Arabidopsis thaliana: one gene and its partners. The protein of the gene in region 2 interacts with the protein of the main gene of each other region in a pairwise test. Each region holds a gene or a part of one and is shown on either strand. Other genes may lie near its edges.

Region 1 (6,375 bases), 4.0 Mb from region 2:
TCCCTTTCTCGCTCCAATCGCCGCTCCTGCTGCTCCCAAGTTCAGATTTTTCTCCTCCGAATCCGGTGAGAACTCGACTACGGCCCCTGAGTCTTCGCCGACTGATTCACCCGAGAAGAAAGATCTCGTTGTAGAAGATGTAAGCAACAAAGGTAAAACACACTCTATCCTCTTGTTTGGTTACCTCACACTTGAAATGGCCTTTGTATTAGTTGAAATGTGTGAGTTTAATTCTCATCTCACCATTTCTCAATACCTCATAGTTTTCAATTGATCCTTCGATACAAGATTCGTAGCTTCTTATCTCATGAACTAGTAGAATAGCTGTAGGTAATCGTTTGAAATTGACTTCATTTATTGGATTTTGTGGTCTCAGAGCTTAAAAGCCGTATAGAGAAGTATTTCAATGAGGGTAATGAAGATGCTTTACCCGGAGTTATTGAAGCACTTCTACAGAGAAGACTTGTAGACAAACACGCAGAGACTGATGATGAATTGTTGGAAAAAATCGAGTCTCTACCTTTCAAAGATGATGTCAAGGATGAAGATTTTGAATCCGATTTCGAGGAAGCACATTCTACTGACGAAGAACTTGAGGATTTGTACAATTCTCCCGAGTATGTAGCTGAAAAGATGAGGAAGAATGAGTTTTTCAACATGGATGATAAGAAGTGGGATCACATGATTAGAGAAGGTATCCAACATGGGTGTCTTACTGATACTAAAGAATGCGAGGAGATTCTTGAGGATATGCTCAAATGGGACCAGCTTCTTCCTGGTAATGGCTCGTTTATTTTCAATCTTCCCGTTCATCGACTCACATCCTTAGACATAGATTAGGTTGATTAATAGACTAATGTGCGTCGTTATAGCTAAACACAATCTCTTCGTGGAACTTAGCTTTTGTAGTTAACCTTTCTATTTGGATTTTTCTGAATCATGGTATGAGAAGTTGAGAACCATTCGTTTTTTTAACTCGTAGAAGGTAATGTACTATGCCAGATATGTTACTTCTCGGATCAGTAGGGCCGTTTAGAGAATATATTGGTTTGTTCCTGTGATGCGTACATATGAACATTTCTCTAACTGTGTATGTTCATTCAGATGACTTGAAGAAAAAGGTTGAAGCAAAGTTTAATGAGCTTGGAGATATGTGTGAAAGAGGTGAAATTGAGGCTGAAGCAGCTTATGAGCTTTTTAAGGAATTTGAAGATGAGATGGTAATTCAGTATGGGGATCAGATGGAAGCTGAGGGTCCTCCCCAATTTGGTGAAACAGATGCTTCCGATAGGAATACTGACTTGGATGATCCCCCTGGTAAAGGCCCAATCCTCAGGTGGCAATCAAGGATAGTTTTTGCTCCTGGAGGTGATGCGTGGCATCCAAAGAACAGGAAAGTTAAAATGTCTGTTACAGTGAAAGAGCTTGGGCTCTCAAAGCATCAGGCTAAAAGGCTAAGGGAACTTGTAGGGAAAAGATACCATTCGGGGAAAGACGAGCTTACAATCACCAGCGAGAGGTATATATAACTATAAATCTTAAGCTTTTCGTGAGACAAGAATGTTGAATCATGAAATGTTTTTGTCCTGTCACAGGTTTGAACACCGAGAGGAAAACAGGAAAGACTGCTTAAGAACTCTTTACGGGTTGATAGAAGAAGCTGGGAAAGCCAACAAGATCGCTGAAGACATAAGAACTTCATATGTAAAACAAAGACTCCGTGCCAATCCAGCTTTTATGCAGAAACTACAAGCCAAGATCATAAGGTCTAAAGAATCAGATGCCATCAACGCTTGAACAAAACTTTTCCCGGTTAGCGCCTTTCTTGTCTCACCAAATAATCTGTAGGATCGTCTTCTTTTGGCAATCATTTGATCCGTTATGGCTTTTCAGATCCATGAAGAATCTTTGATGGTAACTCCTATCTTAGTTTGGTTTGCTTGTTGTATCTCATGAAGACATGAACCTTGGCTGTGCTGTTGGTGTCTATTAGAGACTAGTTAACGTTTTCTCAGAATTATGAATCTCTCCTAAAGTTAAGGTTTCAGATATGTTTACGGGTTCAGAATGAAAGTAACCAAAGGAAAGAATTGGTACAATTTTTGTTTGGGTTTTGTATCAGATGTCTTTCTAATTTTTAAAGAAATTCAATCAGTAAGATAAGAAATGGAAACTAAATAAATTATTGCTTCAATATACGATAGCTATACATCTATAAACGAAAGTAAAATGGTCGGACTGTTCTGTTTATATTTTCCTGACGAAGAAAAATGAAATCTCAACCTCCACAACCACCACCGCAACCGGCACCGCCACAACCTCCGCCACCGGTAGAGGTGCCTGAAGTGGCTCTGTTGTCGGAGACTCCGTCGGCACAAGAGAATAACAGAGCGGAGAGGATACAACAACCGATCACAGCCAGGAACACAACATGAAACAGGTAACTAGCATCGAAATGTGTTGTTGTGGTGGCCATGCTCATTACATCTTCTAATAAGTGTCTCGCCATCTCTCTTTCTCTAGTTAATGTGGATGAGATTAAGTTGTTTAACGTGAAAAGCTTTCCTACTTATAGCCGATAAATTCGTACGTAAGGCCACTGACTTTTGATAAATTATTCGTTCAGTAGTAAGATTTCTTTGTAATTAAATTTTTCTTTTTAAGAAAAGAAGACTTATTTGTTAAAATATAGAAAAGACTGCAATACAAGACTTACCAGAAAGTCATCCATTTTAGTCTACTATTCTCCTCCTCTCAACTAAACACATTTGACTGCGGAATTTTGATGGAATCACGTATATTAGATGAAGATAGGACCCGGTTTATAATAATTTCTAGTTGAAGATTATGTTTCTTTAAAAATATAAAACTTGTAATTCGAAAGGCTAGGCTAATTTTATAGGTCAAGATTATATTATGCTTTTAAAGAAATTTAAAGTTCAATATTTGATAAATTACATACATAGTTCTAGTTAAGGTTTTGTCGAGGAAGTTTAGTTGAAGATAAGGATTTTTGACCATTTACATTAGCGTGAGAAAAGTCAAATGCCATAATATAATTATCATTAATCATAATGTATAAATCAGCTTGAATTGCCTCGTCTTTTTAAAAAAATTATAAATATTGAAGTGATTGTTCATGGCCTTTGTTAAATCCAATAAAAATACAGAGATTTTGTACTGTTTAGTTATTTATCATTGGTTATCATTGATTGTTCATAACTTTATGCATGAGAAGCTATTAAGTCTCTCTCTTCTATTTCACGTGGACTCCATTTTTGTTGTTGGTCCAAATTTGACTATGCAAAATCAAATTCTTATCAAAGGACTTTCGACGTAACCCAATGTTCTTCCCTTTTTTCTTTTGGCGTCTTATTCTTCTACCACTAACCAAATTTAATTCATCATGGATTATGTAATTTCGTAATCTAAAAGCTTCCGAAACATTTGACCAAACAAGAATATATAACTCCGTAATATATATTTTTATTTATGTATACAACTGCCAAAAAATACCAAACTTCCATTTTTTACCAAAAAAATATCAATTTTTTTATTTTATAAGTATCTAACTTTCTAACAAAACTTATAAAATACTTTACGTCCATACCACATATTTTGACGTACGCAGTTTGAACTAGCTAGGTGTGAGCATCGATTTTTGGGTATAGTATGTTTCAGATTTTTGGAAAAATTAAAGTTCCTTAATAAAAAGGAAGATTGAAAAATGTGTTAGAATAGTCGATGTTAAGCGAGAGAGAAATTGTAGGTTAAAACAAAAGTGAAAAGTCTAACTCCACTTATTATTAACATTGTCATTTTCAAAATAACAAAATATCTCTTTGACAATTTTGTAGAACAATTGGTATCTATTTTAGACAAAGTTTGGTTTGGACAAAAAACGAAAATTTGGTATTTTGTTTTGTATTTTTTCCCATACATGTAAACAAACGTACGTATCTTGATATTTATCCGACCACTTTCGCTTTCGATTTAGTGTTTATTTATTTTATTTTTATAGAAGAAAATTATTATTGAAAAAAAAATAGCTCGGTTTTGGCAAATCTTAACGTTATAACAGGTTTTAGGAATGTGATGGTGATATAATGTGCAACAGATTTGCAGCGATGTGCTGATGATACCCGCTTTTCAAGTGATTTGGTCGATTTATAGTTTATTATTATACTCATCAAGGTTAAAACTAGACCAATATCATTAATTGGAGAAAGTTACCATAAACAAGTTCTTGTTAATTATTTCCCTAGAGGCTTGATTTTCACAATTTCACATCATTATTCCATTTGATGATGATTATCAGATCTTAACTTCTTCTTCTTCTTTTAACAGATATGTATATTAATTTGGGTTGATGAGGTCGCATAAATACAGTAGCAAACACATTATCTCTATAAGTAAAGAATGATCAGAATTAAGTAAATTTCTTGTTTTTGACAGTTCCTCTTGGGATTTTACTAAGAACATTCGTATCGACTTTCTTGTACAGCTTCTTCATCTTCCTCATCAACTTACCCGCCGCTGTATCCACGTCGTCCTCGTACATCTCATACATAACCGGTAAGGTTTGCATGCTTACAAACCCTGAACGACACGACGTCCATTAATTCCGTTAATTAATAAAAGGGAATTAAATCTACATATATAGTTGAGTATCATGACTTAATTCTTCTTACCTATGAAGAGAAGATTCACAAAGTTGAAATATGTCCCGATGATGGATACGATATAAAGCGAGATCGTTGTCTGGAAATATAGTAACCAATTTAAGCAAAATAATAATGAATCCAAAGTTATATATATATATATATATAAGTGGAAAATTATTATTCTATATAATATCTTACGAGAAAAAAGAGAGGAGGATCTCTTCCACAAGCAACGTCAAGAAGCTTTGTGAGGATTTGGTTGAATCTAACATGGAAGCTTCTTGCTAATTGTTTGAAAGAAGATTCGTCTAGTACAACTTCTGGTATTAGTGGTCTTTCCCTGCAATTTTGTTTATTTAATTGTCGTTTTATTGGTAAGGAAATCTTGTAATTTGTATATTTTTAACCAATTGATCATGAGAAATTGAAAAAAGATTAATCAAGTAAAGATATAAACATACCAATTGAGAAAATCAGAAGCAGTAGACCAAATGAAGAAAAAAAGCATGGAGGTCATGGAAGCATGACAAATTAGGGTTATGAAATTGTATTCCACTACTTCCATTAAGAACCATAAGATGCTCACTCCTATCACCAATGTTGCTGCTATTTTCGGCTCTCTCCATAACAGAATATCCGCAACTGTTAATCACGAATGCAAGTTGTTAAAATTTAGTGTTTGTCTACATTATAATTTTGGTGATAATTTTGGATAATAGCAAAATAAAATGTGATATTTGAAGAGAATTGATGGATATAAACATGTACTTTCACACACGCATACCGATTGAACCGATATAAAGTTTGAAAGAGAGTGAGACAAATACCTTTACCACCTCCAAATATAGAGTGAATAGATCGTTGACGAGTGAAGAGCTTAGTTGTTTTATGGATCGTTCTTTCGTCTTCAGAATCGGAGGACGATCCCGTAAATATTGGCATGGTTGGATCAAATTTATTAAGATAAAAGTTACTGCGGTAAGAAACAACAATGAAATGAATGTAATCACTATGTAAAATAGTTGATTTGGATTAGGAGAAAATGTGAAAAGCAACAAATATAAGAAGAAAGAAGAAGAGATAGGTTCTAGGCTTGGGAACAAAGGTAACAAAAACATATTCAAGAAGCAAAGAATGGGAATGGTTTTGACCTTGTTCCTTCTCCCATTTATTTCTTCATCTTCATGTCTCAATAAACTATTCAAACCCCTCACGTACGTTGCATATATTTTAACTGAGTGTTATCTTCCCGGTATAAGTGAAGACCCGAAGATCTGGTCTAAACCGTAGCAATTTGAACCGAACCGGTTTATAACAAGACGCCGATTTAACCGGAGTTGCTGGAGTTAAGATGATTCCGTTCGGAATTGGCCGTGGGATTTGCCCGAGGCTTGGAACGACAAATTGGTGTTCGCGGTGGTGATGAAGAATCCGCTGAGATCAAAAAATGTTTTCGATTTTATCATCATCTTCTTCTTCACAACTCGTCAATTCAACTCTCAATTTCCAAAATTCGCCGAAATCTCCGATCACCGTTATGTCGAAGACGTCTAAATTCAAAACCCTGACGGAGAATTTCACCGTGAGAGTGCTTAAAGCAGAGAATCGCGAACTGAACGTGGCTCTGCTCTCACCTTTCACTATCGCTTCTTCACGGCTTGATTCTGTCAGTAATGTTGCGATTCGGATTGAGCTCAACGATGGATTTGTG
Region 2 (8,225 bases):
ATGCTTGAATTTTTAAAGTAGAGTAATTTCAAATTTATCTACATGTCTTGAGTTTCTTGTATTGAAAAAATTGACTTTTATTTTTGGAAACCTATGGAATTCTTTAGATATTCTTAAATTTTTATTAAAAAATATTTTCCACCTGAAAGAATTATTGTTTTGCAATATCTTTCAACCGTTTTTCCAAATACTTCAAGATAATTGAGTCATTACTCTTTTAACATTCAATATCATCACATTAAATATTCTTTTATTTTTGGAAATGTCAAATTTATTAATCAACAAAAAAATATATTTTCAAGTGGAAGGGAATAAAAATCAAAACCATAGCGGCATACCCTAAAGATACCCTCAAACTTGTGAAGATATTTTGTAACTCAATTTTTTTTTTCTACTACACAAATCACATATATTATTTAGATAAAGGGTTTTGTGGAACATAAAATTCATCTATGGAATTTTTATTTCTAATAGACGATATGTTGAATATCATTTTAAATTGTTAAAGTTGGAAATATATGATATTTTTTTCTTCTCAACATACATTAATTAATTAAAATTTTCAAAAAACCAAACCAAATTTATAGAGAAATGATATTTATTTTTAAATACTTTAATTTTTTTTAAAGTAACTACCTATTGCTAAAAAGTGAAGATATAAATTAAACTAAATGTGTAGTATCATTAATTTATATATATACTTTTCATCATCTTAGATTTCTTGGTCAATGTTTTAGAGTTGGACCTTGTGGGACCAACTAATTTGTGGACCCTATGCTGATACGAACCATTAGATTGACATTGCAACACCAAAAAGATAATCACACGGCTAGTAGAAATTATAATGCTTACATGTTTTACACTTGTCACAAATATGCCCGAGAATTTTCCGCAACAATACAAACTACCTTATAACGACTTCATGATTATTACATGACAAATTTTAGTGACCAATTTACCCTTGGACTATCATTTTGTTTTTAAAGTAACTTTTTAACTCACCCAAGTTATCAAAGGTTAGATCTTTGCCAACTCATCGCTCTTCACAGTTGTTCTTGTTTATAAAGTCTTAATATTTTACCCTTACCTTTACTTCTCCCTGTTTTTCCTCTTCCTTAAATTCATCTTCAAGCTTGAATTTCATTTCACTAATCAATTACTTTCCTCGTTATCCTTTTTTGCAGTCAAGTTAAATTGCTCTCTTTCAAGACTTGTGTTCTTTAAACCAAAAAAAAAAAAAAAGTATCTGTGTTCATCACCAACTCATTCTTCTTTCAGATCTAGGGTTTCATGCTTCACTCAATTTTTTTTTGTTTAGGTAGTTCCATCTTCTAAACGTTGTATTTTTTTTTTTTTGCCATCATAATCATATGGAGTTCGAGTCAGTGTTCAAAATGCATTATCCGTATCTCGCAGCCGTTATCTACGATGATAGCTCCACTTTAAAAGATTTTCATCCATCTCTTACCGATGATTTTTCTTGTGTACACAATGTGCATCACAAACCATCGATGGTAAACTCTAATCCTGATCTTTTTTTCACAAGAATCTCACATTAAAGATCTCAATCCTATCACTTTACTCAAAATCTTAATATTGTTCCCTATCACTTTGATATGCAGCCTCACACATATGAAATACCATCAAAAGAAACCATTAGGGGCATCACTCCTTCTCCATGCACTGAAGCTTTCGAGGCATGTTTTCATGGCACATCCAACGACCATGTTTTTTTTGGCATGGCCTATACCACCCCACCAACTATTGAACCCAACGTTTCACATGTCTCACATGACAATACTATGTGGGAAAACGATCAAAACCAAGGATTCATCTTTGGAACCGAGTCAACCCTCAATCAAGCCATGGCGGACTCTAATCAATTCAATATGCCAAAACCACTCTTGAGCGCAAACGAAGACACCATCATGAATCGACGTCAAAATAACCAGGTAATGATCAAGACCGAGCAGATCAAGAAGAAGAACAAGAGATTTCAGATGAGGAGGATATGTAAACCCACAAAAAAAGCTAGCATCATCAAAGGACAATGGACTCCTGAAGAAGACAAGTAAATTCAACATCTAATTTTTTGGAATTCTCATAAATAATTTTCTTAATCTAGTATGATATTGTTTTTAATATTAATATTTTCTAATGATTCTACCTATATTTAGGTTATTGGTGCAGCTAGTGGACCTTCACGGAACTAAAAAATGGTCTCAGATTGCTAAGATGCTTCAAGGACGAGTTGGAAAACAGTGCAGAGAAAGGTGGCATAACCATCTCCGTCCCGATATCAAGGTCTCTTATTTTATTTTATTTTCATTTTCTTATTTTCATAGGAGAAACAAAAACAAAATATCATCTTCGATACTTTCAAATTCATTACATGATACATTGAGAATCTTCTAAGAGAATATTAACAAACTTTTTTCACACTTGTCAACATGTATACGGTTTTATTTCATGCATGAATACTTTAAACTTTTGTTTGTATATACATATATGTCTATGACAATTCTTTAAGGCATTTTGTCTTCTTGTTGCGGACAAAACTTCACAATTGGTAAGACATTTAAACTAAAGTCATTGTCACTTGGATTCTCTCATATAATTCAACAAACATAAAAGAGAAAAAAACATATAAAAAATAAAAATATTTGTTTAATATTGTATGTATTATTTACATATAAAGCATATTTTATGTGGTATGTTACAGAAAGATGGATGGACTGAAGAAGAGGATATAATACTGATAAAAGCCCATAAGGAGATTGGGAACAGATGGGCTGAGATAGCTCGAAAACTCCCGGGACGCACTGAAAATACGATCAAGAACCATTGGAACGCGACTAAACGTCGACAACACTCGAGGAGGACTAAAGGAAAAGATGAAATTTCCCTTTCACTTGGTAGCAACACTCTTCAGAACTACATTAGGTCTGTTACCTACAATGATGATCCTTTCATGACCGCAAATGCAAACGCAAACATTGGTCCAAGAAACATGAGAGGTAAAGGTAAGAATGTAATGGTTGCGGTCTCGGAGTATGATGAGGGTGAATGTAAGTATATTGTGGATGGTGTGAATAACTTGGGTTTAGAAGATGGAAGGATCAAGATGCCGTCATTGGCGGCTATGTCGGCCTCCGGATCAGCGTCTACTTCTGGTTCTGCGTCTGGTTCTGGAAGTGGTGTGACCATGGAGATTGATGAGCCGATGACTGATAGCTGGATGGTGATGCATGGATGTGATGAAGTTATGATGAACGAGATTGCTTTGCTGGAGATGATTGCTCATGGTCGTCTTTAGACCGTGCAATATAAACAAGTCGAACTTGATTATATCTACCTATATAATTATGCTATTTATGAAATTATGTTTGTGCTTTTAATTGAAGAATTGGACATGTAATATATATTGTGGTTTAATTGAAGGTTTCTTTTGGACTAAACAAAAATTGAAGGTTTTCTTGCTTTATCAGATTTTTTTTTTGTTATTCTCTAATTTCATTTTAATTAAGAATCTATATATATTGTTAAATTTTCTGTTATACTATATGAATGGTAATTGCGTTTGCGGTTAGGAGAAGACGACCATTAGGTCCACAACAAGTACATTTAGTCACTAAAGAATAATTTTATATCGACTATGCTAAAGAAAAAAAGTACTAGTTGTTTACAAAATATCTGGTTAGTATGATGTAATATGGGATAATATGTGTATGGTCCGTTGTATTGTAATTTTCTGGAATTTGTTACCTTACCGTCATAATGACTATATGGTCCGTCGTATTGTAATACCAGAAATTTTAGGCAAAACACAAACAAAAAAAAACGTAATGAGAGTTTTGTATACATTATATTTTGGTTTTCCATTTGTTTTGTATATCACCATTCGAAAAGTCATACATAACTAAAAGAAAAATACATAAAACTTTTGGGATCTATATTCATTAATGATATTTTGACTAACTACATAGAAAATTGAGATCTTAACCAAATACAATAAACCATTACTTCTTATTCTTTTTGTGCAATTCCTCCAACAAAAAAAGAAAAAAAACTTAACAATTTTAGTCTTAACTACAAATAGTTAAAAATAATAATGGGCTTGTAGATATCTTTCCATTTATATGAGATTTGTGATTTAGGCCTATTTAAGTAAAATACACACGAAACCAAATCGACGTCGTTTGGCAACTAAGCGTTGGACAAACGGAGAAGGTCCCACCTGTCCTTGTCTCCACTCTGTGTTCTCCGATTCCAGTGGGCCTCTGACACCGCCATTGGATTGTTCTTCAGATTTATACATATCTCATATCTCATCACCTTCCAAGTTTCAATTTGACTTCTCCATCACACACAACAACAAGAACAAGGACAAGCTTCTACATTTCTCTTAACATAACGTAAGTATCAAGAATCAAAGCTACTTAATCTTAACACTAATATCTCTATATGTAAATCAATTAAGCTACTTTTAACTCCTCTGCAGAGACAGTTTTTGATCTGGGTTTTCAAGTCCGGTGTTGATCCCATTGAGTTTCGGATCTAAAAGATCCGAATATTCAGACGGATCAACAAGAGAACAAGAAAAAAAAAATGAATCTTGAGAATGTTTTGGAATTCACCAGCTTTGATTACTGGTTTAATTGGAGAGTGTTACTATGTGCTATATGGGTAATAGTTCCAATGATTGTTTCTTTATTAGTCTTATGGAAGTATGAAGATAGTTCAGTTCAAACTCAACCATCACTTAATGGTAATGATGTTTTGTGCATTGATGATGTTTGGAGACCTTGTTTTGAACGAATCCATCCGGGTTGGTTGTTGGGTTTTCGGGTTCTCGGGTTTTGTTTCCTTCTTGCTAACAATATTGCCCGGTTTGCTAATCGTGGATGGCGTATTTACTACTATTATACTCAGTAAGTTCTCTTTAAAGATCTCTGCTTTATTGTGTGGAAAGGGAATATCTTTGATGTTTTGAGACTGATATGATTGAGGTTTTGATTGGTAGGTGGACATTCACTTTGATAGCAATCTACTTCGGGGTATGTTTTGATTTTTGATGTTGTGAATATGTATATGGTTATAGTCAAGTTTGTTTGAATGTTTGTTGTCACTTGTGTGTTGTGTAGATGGGATCATTGCTTTCAATTTATGGATGTTTACAATACAAGAAGCAAGGGAACACTGGACTTATCGCTGATCAAGTAGGAATCGATGCAGAGAACGGGTTTCGTTCGCCTCTTATAGATGGTGACAACATGGTTTCGTTCGAGAAGAGAAAAACTTCTGGTTCGGAAGCACTAAAGTCATATGTTCATCTCTTCCAGATTATATATCAGGTAGACAGATTCCTTTGGTTATTATGATGTATAGTTTGCAACTTTCAGATTTCTTGTTTCATTAGTGTATATATGATCACTGATACTTGTGTGTTTTGGTTTGTTGAAAAACAGATGGGTGCTGGAGCAGCTGTGCTTACAGACAGTATATATTGGACCGTGATTTTCCCGTTTCTGTCTTTACAGGACTATGAGATGAGTTTCGTAAGTTTTCGCGCCATTTACCGTATATTAGTTAAAGCTTGTACACTGCTGATGGCACTTTCTACGTTGCACTTGACCCTCTTGAACTTAGTCTCAACTTCTCTAGTGTCAAAATTCTGTGTTTTCAGATGACTGTGAATTTGCACACAAGCAACCTCGTTTTGCTGCTTATTGACACGTTTCTAAACCGTCTGGTAAAACAATTCTTTCCTCTGCATTTACGACGAGTTTTCGTTTTCATTAATGTGTTGAACCTGAGGTCTTTTTGTGATGTTGCTTTGCAGAAATTTCCATTGTTCAGGTTCTCTTACTTCATCTTATGGACAGGATGTTTCGTTCTTTTCCAGTGGATTCTCCACATGTTTATCTCCGTTGGGTAAAACTCTTCTCTGTCATCTTTTGTATGTTACACTTACCGTCTTGATTAATCTTACACTTGTATTCCTCGATTGACTTAGGTGGCCATATCCATTTCTCAACCTGTCATTAGACATGGCTCCAGTGTGGTAAGCCTTGAAAACATTTACATACTAGACACTAGTCAGGATTGGTTTATATCATAATGTTTCATTCCTTAGAATGATTACGCCTATCCTTAATATTTTAATTCATGCATCTGCAGGTATTTGTTGGTGGCACTCCTGCATCTTCCTTCTTATGGCCTCTTTGCATTAATCGTCAAAATCAAATACAAACTCATTTCTTGAAGTCATTTCGAATCCAAGAGTTTCTGCCCCGTAAGAGTCAGTGCTCAAGGGTTACAACAATCAAAGAAACAATTTTTTACCCCATATGTCTAAAATCTTCAAAACAGATCATTGTAAACGCCACAACATTTCAATGCATAAACTATTTACTTCCGATCCAATTCGCATATCGCAATGAACCATTTCGTAAATTTTTCGCTACCCGAATTGATTTCAGCTCGAACCAAATCGAAAGAACTAACCATAGCAACAGAATATAGTGCAATCTTTGCCAAAAGTGTATGAACTTAATCAAAAACCGAACCAAACCAAACCGAAAACCCGAAAATTCAAGGTTTTAGAATTGAAGATTTGAGTGAGACTTGAGAAGCCAAGTCTGGCTCTCCTAGTCTCAAGAGACCCTTACTCAAAACCTCAGCGACATACTCATCAGCCTCCCATGACTCAGACCCCCAACCACTTTCCCTCATCAAGGTATAAACCCTAACCACCGACTCTCTCCTCTCAGCTCCAACCACAGCCCTAATCAACTTAGCTAAAGCCTTATCATCACTTCTTTGATCAATTCCATCAATTTCACCAATAAGACGATCTATCTCATCGAACTCTTTATTCCTCGTAAGAGCATTAACAATGTCTGCGTATAGAACAAGGTCAAGAGGAGGATACTCTGTACGGAGAGTGGAGAGTACATGGACAGCGAGTGTGCAATAGTCTTGACGGAGAAGCTCACGGAGGACGGAGATGAGATCGGATTTTATGAGACGGCGGAGAGGACGGAGGGTAAGGGAGAGGGAGACACCGGTTCGATGAGCTCGTTTGAGAGATTGGATTGATTGGATTGCTTCGGTGCTTAGGATTCGGCCTTTGAGAAGTGGTCCGCGGTTGTCTCGTGGACCGCATCGGATCGAAACGAACGTTCTCTTAGGAACGATGACGCTAAGGGTATGGCTATGGCTAAGGCTTGGTGGTCGAGTCTGGCTGAGAGAAAGCGCCATTATTAATCACACCAATCTTTACGAGTGTGGTTGTGTGAGTGAGAGAGATGGTCTTTCATTGGGCAAGCCCATATTAATTTATAAAAGGCCCATATGTGACACAAAATTAATTAATTTATACTTTCTAATTATGCGTCGTTTATATTTCTGTTCCCGCTAATTTCTCTACACGAGTCTATCATTACACTTGCAAGAGCGACTCTATCTTCTTCTTTTTTTTCAAATTCTTGTTTCGTTAAAAAGTTAAATTTTATACCAATTTGACGACTTTATCTTCTTCTTTTTTTTTCAGATTGTTTTTTTTTTTGTTAAAAAGTTAAATTTTATACCAATTTTAATTTTTAACATAATTACAAAGATTACAAAATACATATAAAAATAATCTACAGAAAAATAAATACAACATTACTACTAAAAAAGGTTTGGATCGCTTCTAAGCAAAGAAAGCCAAGTTACAAAGAGAACCACCGAATTCGATCTTGTAAAACTTAAGAATTCGCGTGATTTTACCATATGACCTAAGTACTGGAATCTTCATATTTGTTGCCACAATTCTAACTGAAATCAGTCTTCAAAAAATCAAGATAGAATGCTAGCAACATTCTATCTTAAATCTTATATTTCTTTAACTCGTTTAATTACTAATATCCTAAAACATTTTTACCTTATTAAAATATAAATATATGATTTTTTTACTTTTATTTAACCTTATATTTATTCTATTTCGAATTTATATAAAATCTATTTATATATATAATTATTTAAATATTAAATTTAGACATATATTCGATACTTTATTCTATTTTTATAATAAACAAAACTATGATTTTCATCCCTTTTTATTTAGCAACAAAACTATGATTATGTGACCAAATTTACTAGAGAAAAAAGTCAACAAAAGTCAAAGCAAGATACTGTAATAATAACAACGAATTAATTTCAAAAAAAGAGCTATCGACCCA
Region 3 (7,181 bases), about 12 Mb from region 2:
TGTGTGTTGGTCTAGATTCAGTTTGGTTCTTGAGTACAAAGCCTGAGTTTCAGGGGATCACCGGATTGATTAAGAAGATCATATGTCATGGTGCTCATGACTTTACTAGAGCTACTCTTAGGACTTCGTTTCTCGCTTCTTGTGTCTCTGCTTGCCAGAGCCGGACAATGAGTCTTTCTGATACAGTAACTGTTATGGCTCAAAGGTAATCATGCAATCTTTTAATTTCTCTTTAAGTATAATTCTAAAGCAGATTTGGGGTGCTTAGACTGGTTGGCTGTTTCTATTTTTCCCTGTTTCTTTTTATTTTGCTTCACTCACGGGAACCTTAGGTATATTTGTAGCTGCACAAATTTTTCCTTACTGGTTATAGTGTTTGGTTATATCTGTATGTAATTGGTTGTCAGGATAATCAAATGACACTGCTAGTATTTGTGGGCGCTGATGTTACTAAATGTCATAGACAAAACAATTCCGCTTAAGAAAACTTTAAATCAGTTTGTTTAACATGTGAGTTCATATTTGGTTTGTACATGATGTATAGGTTGCATGAGCGTCTCCAAGAGTGCAACGGGGATGAGATTCTAAAAGCAGAGGCTGGTGCCAAAGTTCAGAAGTTCACTGAATGGGCTCTCAAATGTATAGGTTTCCACTCCCGATGCCAGGGGGCAAAGGATAGAGTTAGCCAAAATTCGGCTGCTGAAATTGAACTACAACTTTCTGCTTTCAAGATGTTCTTAGATCTAGCAGGAAACCATCTCTCAGGAAGAGACTTCACTGAGGCCTTTGATGCAGCTTGTTTCCCGCTCACTCTGTTCTCCAACTCGTTTGATCCTGGCTGGGCATCTGGGATGTCAGCTACTGTTATACAGGGACTGCTCGGTATGCTTGTTGAAGGTGGCGCAGATAATGTGAACCAATGTTTCCTTGAAGCTTCACGTTTTGGTAGTACAGAACTTGTCCGCGTCTTATTGCAGGTAAGCTTCCATTCTTTTGATTGCTTCTAGACTTATAGAAGGTCTCTTTTCGTGCTCAAATATTGTATTTCCTGGAGCAGATTGCCCAAAGGAACAGCTTAGATGTTGATGTGGACTTAGCTCTTGGTTTTGCCTCGCATTATTGTAAAATCGGAACAATGAAGTGCCTAGTGGAAGAAGGTAATGCCATTGCCTTCTTGGGTCCCTTAATGAGAGCAGCAGAGAGAGGTTGCATGCAAGTTGTTCAATGGTTTGTGAAAAGAGGTTGCCGTGACATGGAGCTTTGCTTGGCTCTAACAGCGGCCACTTCAAGTTGCCAAGTCGAGGTAGCTGCTTATCTCCTCCCTCGTGTTCCACCACCTGTCTTAACCGCTCTCAGCATCGAAATCCTCAAAGCAGCAGGAGAAAGAAGCGGAGGGTCTCTCCAAGGAGTAGAGTTTCTTCTCAAATCAGACTTCTTAGGAGATTCCACGGCTACATACTCAGTGGCAGACAGCATCGCAAGGTCATCAGAAGACGAATCCGTTCCTTCAGATCTAAAATCGTTTCTCCAAGAACACTGGTCGGAGTCAGCTTTTGAGAAAGGAATGAGAGAAAGCCATGACGATTTCATGAATTTCATGAGAGTTTTGAAAAAAGGGGAGTCAGCGATATCCTTAAGAGACCTTCCTGCACCGCTAAGAGTAGCAATAGCGTACATGCCGCTGTACAGAGAGTGCATGAAAGCGGACGGTCGGTTACTGTCTCAGAGGCTAAGAGGACAGCTTGTAGAAGCAGTGAGACAGCTTCAAGGCTGTGCTGTTGCAGTTGTGGAAGTAAGCCAGACTCGTAACCTTATGGCGGTTTTGGAGCATCACCTTACCGCCATTTTCGATTGAAACAAATGGATTCTGCTTTTGGGCTTCACTGGTTTTCTAATTTCTACGAATAGTTGAAAATAAGCAAATAAATACTACGATTTAAATTAACGGATATTGGGATTTGGGTTTGAGATGACGAAGTGAGGTTTTTTTTTTTTTTTTGTATAATTTCTTCTTATGATGCTTCTATATTATGTCAGTCTCTTCTCCTCCATTTCTCTTATTGTGCGTTGAAGTATTCTCACATATATATATTATGATAATTTAATGTAATATTTATAACTTACATTTATATTGTATATCAATTTCATTGGATTAAGAACCCTAAGATTAATTAAGATCATCATATAATAAATTTCAGATTTACATGAAATTGCAAGTTACATCTGTATTAGCATTAGAATGAGAAGAAGGCATGAAGGCAAGAACGACGAGTAAAACCATAATCCCAATGGGAACCAATAGCAGCATAAACGGAGGCGGAGGTAACGGCGGCAAAACTAACGGAAGTATTAACAGAGATGCCGTTAGACCAACCAATAGGAACAGAGACTCTAAACTGAAATAATTCGCCGGGATCATCATCCTTTTCTGCGCCGAGAAACTCCGCCGTAACTCTTGCTTGCTTTTCTCCGGCGAACTTCGAAAGCTCATGTTTTTCCGGTTGTTTCTTCCGACGTCCATGACTCGGTTGTTCGAATAACTGTCTTGAATGTTTATAATATCTTTTTGTAAGTTTGAGATTTCTCGAATCATCTACAGAGGTTGTTTTGCTGTGTCTGGTTTGGATTTAGAAGATCAGTGACAAAATTTTGCTCAAAGATCTGATCTTTAGGGCAACTGGTTAACCAATGCAGCTTGATCGAAGCAATTGGTGAAGAATTCGAGACAAAATAAGGATGGCCCACGATTCAGAAACAGAGGATGCAGAACAAATCCGAGTTAACTCAACGATTCAGATGTAAAGGAAGAAGCTTTGAGGTGAAGGAGTTTGAGAAGCTTTGTGTATTGGTTTTGGTTGGATCAAGAAACTGTGTGAAACAAGTACTAGTAGGGAAATGAGGAAGACAAGTAGCAATGAAAGAGGAGAATTTATTAATAAAGGAGTTGGAGGAGAATCAGAAGATATGGGGGGAGAAAGAGAGAGAAGAGGGTTCAGTGAATTTAGGGATTTTCTGATATGTTGAAAAGACGAAAAAGAGGAACGTTTATTATATAAAGGGGCTGACAAATGTGAGGAGAAGCAAGTTGCTGAATTTGAAAGATTTGAATTTCGTGTGGCCTAGTCTTCCTCCACAATCACAAGGTTCTTCTCCCCTGGTCTTCTTTTCTCTTACTTTTTCTACCATTTCTTTTACTTATATAACATATGACGTAAGCTACAATCTCCTCTGATCTGAATATGTAAGTAGTATTTAAATAAATGAGTTTTAAAACCATCTTTTTACCATTCTATAAATTTTTAAGAAAATAATTTTCTAGTTTATTTTGAATCATCCAGTTATTAATATACAGGTTGATTTTTAAAATTTTATAATCAAATATTTGATGCGATGAGGAAATTATTTTTATTAACGTACCTACCAATAATTTTGTCGATGTTTATGGATAAATAAGGACCCATAGTGTTGTTCTTCTCGAAGCACTTCATATGGTGAATGCGCTTGTTCTACCAGGAAATGTTGGGCCAATATATGTATATGCTCTCATATTTCTATATATAAAGCCAAGTTAAATAGCTAGGAATGTTTTTCAAATTAATTCACGATGCTATTTTTATATATTTACGTGTATATGGAGATCGGACATAGTAACGTGACAACACGCTTTGCATGTGAAGTCTTGATGAGAGGATGGTTTTTAATAAAGCCAAGATGTTTATATCGCCAGAGGATGAATTCTCACAGAATGATGAATTAAAGCAAATAGACTTCGCTAGTAACTCAGTCGGAAATCACTTGTTACTTTTAATATATAAATATAGTTAATCCCATAAATATAATTCATGGTTCAATGAATTGAGAAACATATAGGCCATTTCCTTTAGAAACAACGTCAAGTGGTTTTATTAGTTTTTTTCCTGGCCTTTAGATACAAAAAAGCCGATGAGTAGTTTGGGAGAATTGATAGATTACCAATACTACAACACTAGTTATCCACATTAATTGTGCAGCATTACTTTAATTAGGCCAAATTAACAATATACGAAGACTGCAGCTTCAGATATTAAACTATTTGACGTGTACCAACAAAGTTTTTTGCATGGATGACAAACCCTAAATTAATAATTTAGAATGTTTATATCGAAAGATCCGCTAGTTTCTACTCCTACTCTACAGATACGAAAATCGTATATTTAGGGATGAGAAAATGGATCTCCTTGAATCGTTGACCAAAAAAAGGAAAGAAAATTGTCAAATGGATCTTCTCAGCATAAGCTCAACTAAAAAAATCAATTTATTTGTGTTTAGTGTTTGTCTCTACAATCAAGAGAATACTTTTACTAAAATATGGGTTCATAAAAATGTTCACTGAATGTATACACTAGTAACCAAAACTTATTTGGTGCGGTTTAAGATTTATTTTTTATTTAAATAAAAGTACTTCCTTTTAAGTTCTTTGGAAACAAAAGAATTAATCAGTTTAAAATTCAGTTCACTTGTGTGTTTGTTCTTGGATAGATATACAGTATTACGATTAAACATCTCTATTTGTACGTTTTTAATTAGTAATGGAATTTGTTTATTGAAGACTAGATGAGTAAATAATGGTGGAAAGTTAAGATGTAGGTGTGTATATATGGCAACCCATGCATGATTATTGCCTTGAACACCGCACACATTTAGATTGGTGTCCAGTGGACCTGTATCAAAAAGTTCAAGAAAAAAAAGTATTATCATAATATTATTCCCTCTGTCTTACTAATAAGTCAGTCATGTTTAAATATTGCTTCTTCTTGTTTTATATACCCTACTTCTAATTTAATTGATTTTCGACAGTCAATATGCATAGACATATGTTTTGGTCTAATTCTTAGACACTTGATGCATTACAATAATCTCAATAACAAGGTCCATATGCTCAGTTTCATAACGTTCGCGAATTTTAAAGATTTTTGTTTTGGTCAGCTTTTTTAGATTTGATAATATTATTCGATTATTATCTTGTGAAATATTATTCCATTATTATACTAAGTATAATTTGAGAAAAAGATTACTACAGTATAATTTGAGAAAAAGATTACTACAGTATAATTTGGTTGATTTGTAAGGAGAAAGGCGATCGATGAGACACTGAGGATCGAACCACATGTAAACGTCACGTGGCTCTTTGCCTTTGATTCAATGCATGATCTCTCGAGTCTCGACCAAACCAACTTGCCTAATTAATATTCCTCGTACGACTCTTTAATCCCCTTTTTTGTTTGCTTAAAAAAAAAGATTACAAATTATTTTGTTTGTTGTTTTTTTTTTTGTTTTTTTTAATCCCCTTTGATACAAATTATTTTGTTATTGTGGAAATTTAACCCAAATTATTTGAAATTCTTTCCCCGACAAGCATCTCTTATTGTGGTTGGTCTAATAGGATTAATGGTCGTTTTCGTGAGTGATGTTATCATGAAACAAGTTAATTGAAAAGTGTTCATAATTTGGTTTCCAAAATTTAGGAGTATGATTAGGTTCAGAGTATCATAAGTTTGTATGTCTTAGTGACAAAGACAAGAATAGGTATACTTACTTTTATGGGTTAAACCTTTTCATTTTATCAAGCTTTAATTAATTAAAAATCACAGATTGAAAGGGAAATTAAACGAATGACGAGAAAAAAACAATGTATCTGCTGCTTACCTGAGGTCGGTCATTGGGTTCATTGCATTGATCCTAATATACCAAATTTATGGTTCATATTCAATTTTATATTTTTAGCTAGCTCCAACAAAAACAATGTTTCCGTACATTTTCGTTGTCAAAAAAACAAAAGATGATTCATGACCTCTTAATTAAAGTGAAATCCGGACTCTGACCATTAATTAAGGAAAAAGTAGAGAAACTCCGGTTTGATAAATTAATTAAATAGAAATTCCGGTTTGACCATTAAAATGAAGAGAAATTCCGGTTTTCAATTTTAGTAACCTTTCCGGTTTTGGTTGAAACACCCCAACCTTAACCAGAAGCTTTGGATCTGACGTAAAGGGAAAATGTCTAAAACCCTACCGTTCGCCGGTTCGAATTTTTCAGACAAGGTTTGAACATAAATTCTAATTTCGTTGCTCGACAGCAATCTCGGACCAAGTGGAAACCGAAAATGGCGGCGAATGGGTACAGTTTCTAAACTGGATTCACTCTCTTCCGACATTGGTTTGATGAATTGATCTTTAAAGTTGTCATTTTTGTTGTTGTTCTTGTCTGGGATTTGATCACAGGCTAATGGCGGCATCTAGTGTGTTTCTCCACCGTCCTGTACATCCCCATTTCTCGTTCTCTTCTAGAACGAATCAAATGGTTCCACTCGGCTTCAAAGGCCGTGTTAGTTTCATCGGCAATGTGAAACGCTGTTTTCCGGTGGTATTGTCAATGGGAAAGTCGGAGACTTTCGAGGAAGCTGGAAATTCCGTTGCGCCTGGTAACGGCATATCGATCATGGTATCTGATTACTTCCCTAACACTCTTGAGTTGTGACATTTAGCATTTCCATTGATGATTGTGATTTTCCCGGAAATTTATAGATGGAAAGCTGTTGCCTTTTTTTTTTTTTCTAGCAACAGAAATATTTTAGGGTAAGTTACATAGATCTTTGCTAGAGTGTAATTGTAGGATCAAGTTATAAGCCATTCGTTCACTCTTTTTAATCTTTATACTTTAGGTGAATGGATGCAGTGGTAAAATGGGGAAAGCTGTCATCAAAGCGGCAGATTCTGCTGGAGTGAATATTGTTCCTACATCATTTGGGTCTGTTGAAGAGGCTGGCCAGACTGTTGAGGTCTGTGGAAAGGAGATTCTTGTGCATGGTCCTACTGAAAGAGAAAAGGTGCTGTCTTCAGTGTTTGAGAAGTATCCTGAACTAATTGTTGTGGACTACACAATTCCCTCTGCAGTAAATGGTAAGTCTAGCAACTCCTATTCCTGTAATCTGAAGAAATTTCATTTAATGACATCATTATGATTAGATGTGTGTTGAAATTTGATTTTTTTCACTATTATAAATGATCCTGATTTATGTGAATGTGACAACACCACATCTTTAGAATCTTTCCAATGTGTGTTGTTTTGCAAAATGTAGATAATGCAGAGCTGTATGGCAAAGTAGGAGTTCCGTTCGTAATGGGAACAACTGGAGGAGACAG

What was found.
Region 1: the proteins of AT3G27770 (region 2) and AT3G18250 interact in a protein complementation assay, tested with the Arabidopsis thaliana proteins (one large-scale study listed by BioGRID).
Region 3: the proteins of AT3G27770 (region 2) and ARGOS interact in a protein complementation assay, tested with the Arabidopsis thaliana proteins (one large-scale study listed by BioGRID).

What each region holds. Positions count from the first base shown.
Region 1 is NC_003074.8:6,255,899-6,262,273, forward strand, and holds AT3G18250 (Putative membrane lipoprotein), read right to left. Parts: upstream 2,529-6,375; 5' UTR 2,510-2,528; coding exon 2,279-2,509; 3' UTR 2,162-2,278; downstream 1-2,161. Other genes in the region: AT3G18240 (Ribosomal protein S24/S35), read left to right, coding at 1-152, 377-778, 1,105-1,519, 1,596-1,797; AT3G18260 (Reticulon family protein), read right to left, coding at 4,430-4,599, 4,692-4,761, 4,863-5,004, 5,126-5,306, 5,492-5,606; CYP77A5P (cytochrome P450, family 77, subfamily A, polypeptide 5 pseudogene), read left to right, coding at 6,112-6,375.
Region 2 is NC_003074.8:10,283,858-10,292,082, reverse strand, and holds AT3G27770 (plant/protein), read left to right. Parts: upstream 1-4,151; 5' UTR 4,152-4,415; intron 4,416-4,501; 5' UTR 4,502-4,608; coding exon 4,609-4,931; intron 4,932-5,023; coding exon 5,024-5,057; intron 5,058-5,144; coding exon 5,145-5,354; intron 5,355-5,468; coding exon 5,469-5,558; intron 5,559-5,686; coding exon 5,687-5,752; intron 5,753-5,842; coding exon 5,843-5,934; intron 5,935-6,016; coding exon 6,017-6,064; intron 6,065-6,180; coding exon 6,181-6,265; 3' UTR 6,266-6,426; downstream 6,427-8,225. Other genes in the region: MYB118 (myb domain protein 118), read left to right, coding at 1,371-1,514, 1,623-2,071, 2,178-2,304, 2,723-3,316; EMB3123 (PPR containing protein), read right to left, coding at 6,595-7,263.
Region 3 is NC_003074.8:22,125,453-22,132,633, reverse strand, and holds ARGOS (auxin-regulated gene involved in organ size), read right to left. Parts: upstream 3,130-7,181; 5' UTR 2,594-3,129; coding exon 2,201-2,593; 3' UTR 2,162-2,200; downstream 1-2,161. Other genes in the region: AT3G59910 (Ankyrin repeat family protein), read left to right, coding at 1-205, 545-977, 1,058-1,855; AT3G59890 (Dihydrodipicolinate reductase, bacterial/plant), read left to right, coding at 6,143-6,156, 6,261-6,480, 6,701-6,938, 7,118-7,181. UniProt on the Arabidopsis thaliana protein: Promotes cell proliferation-dependent organ growth. Takes part in the AXR1-dependent auxin signaling pathway that requires ANT during organogenesis.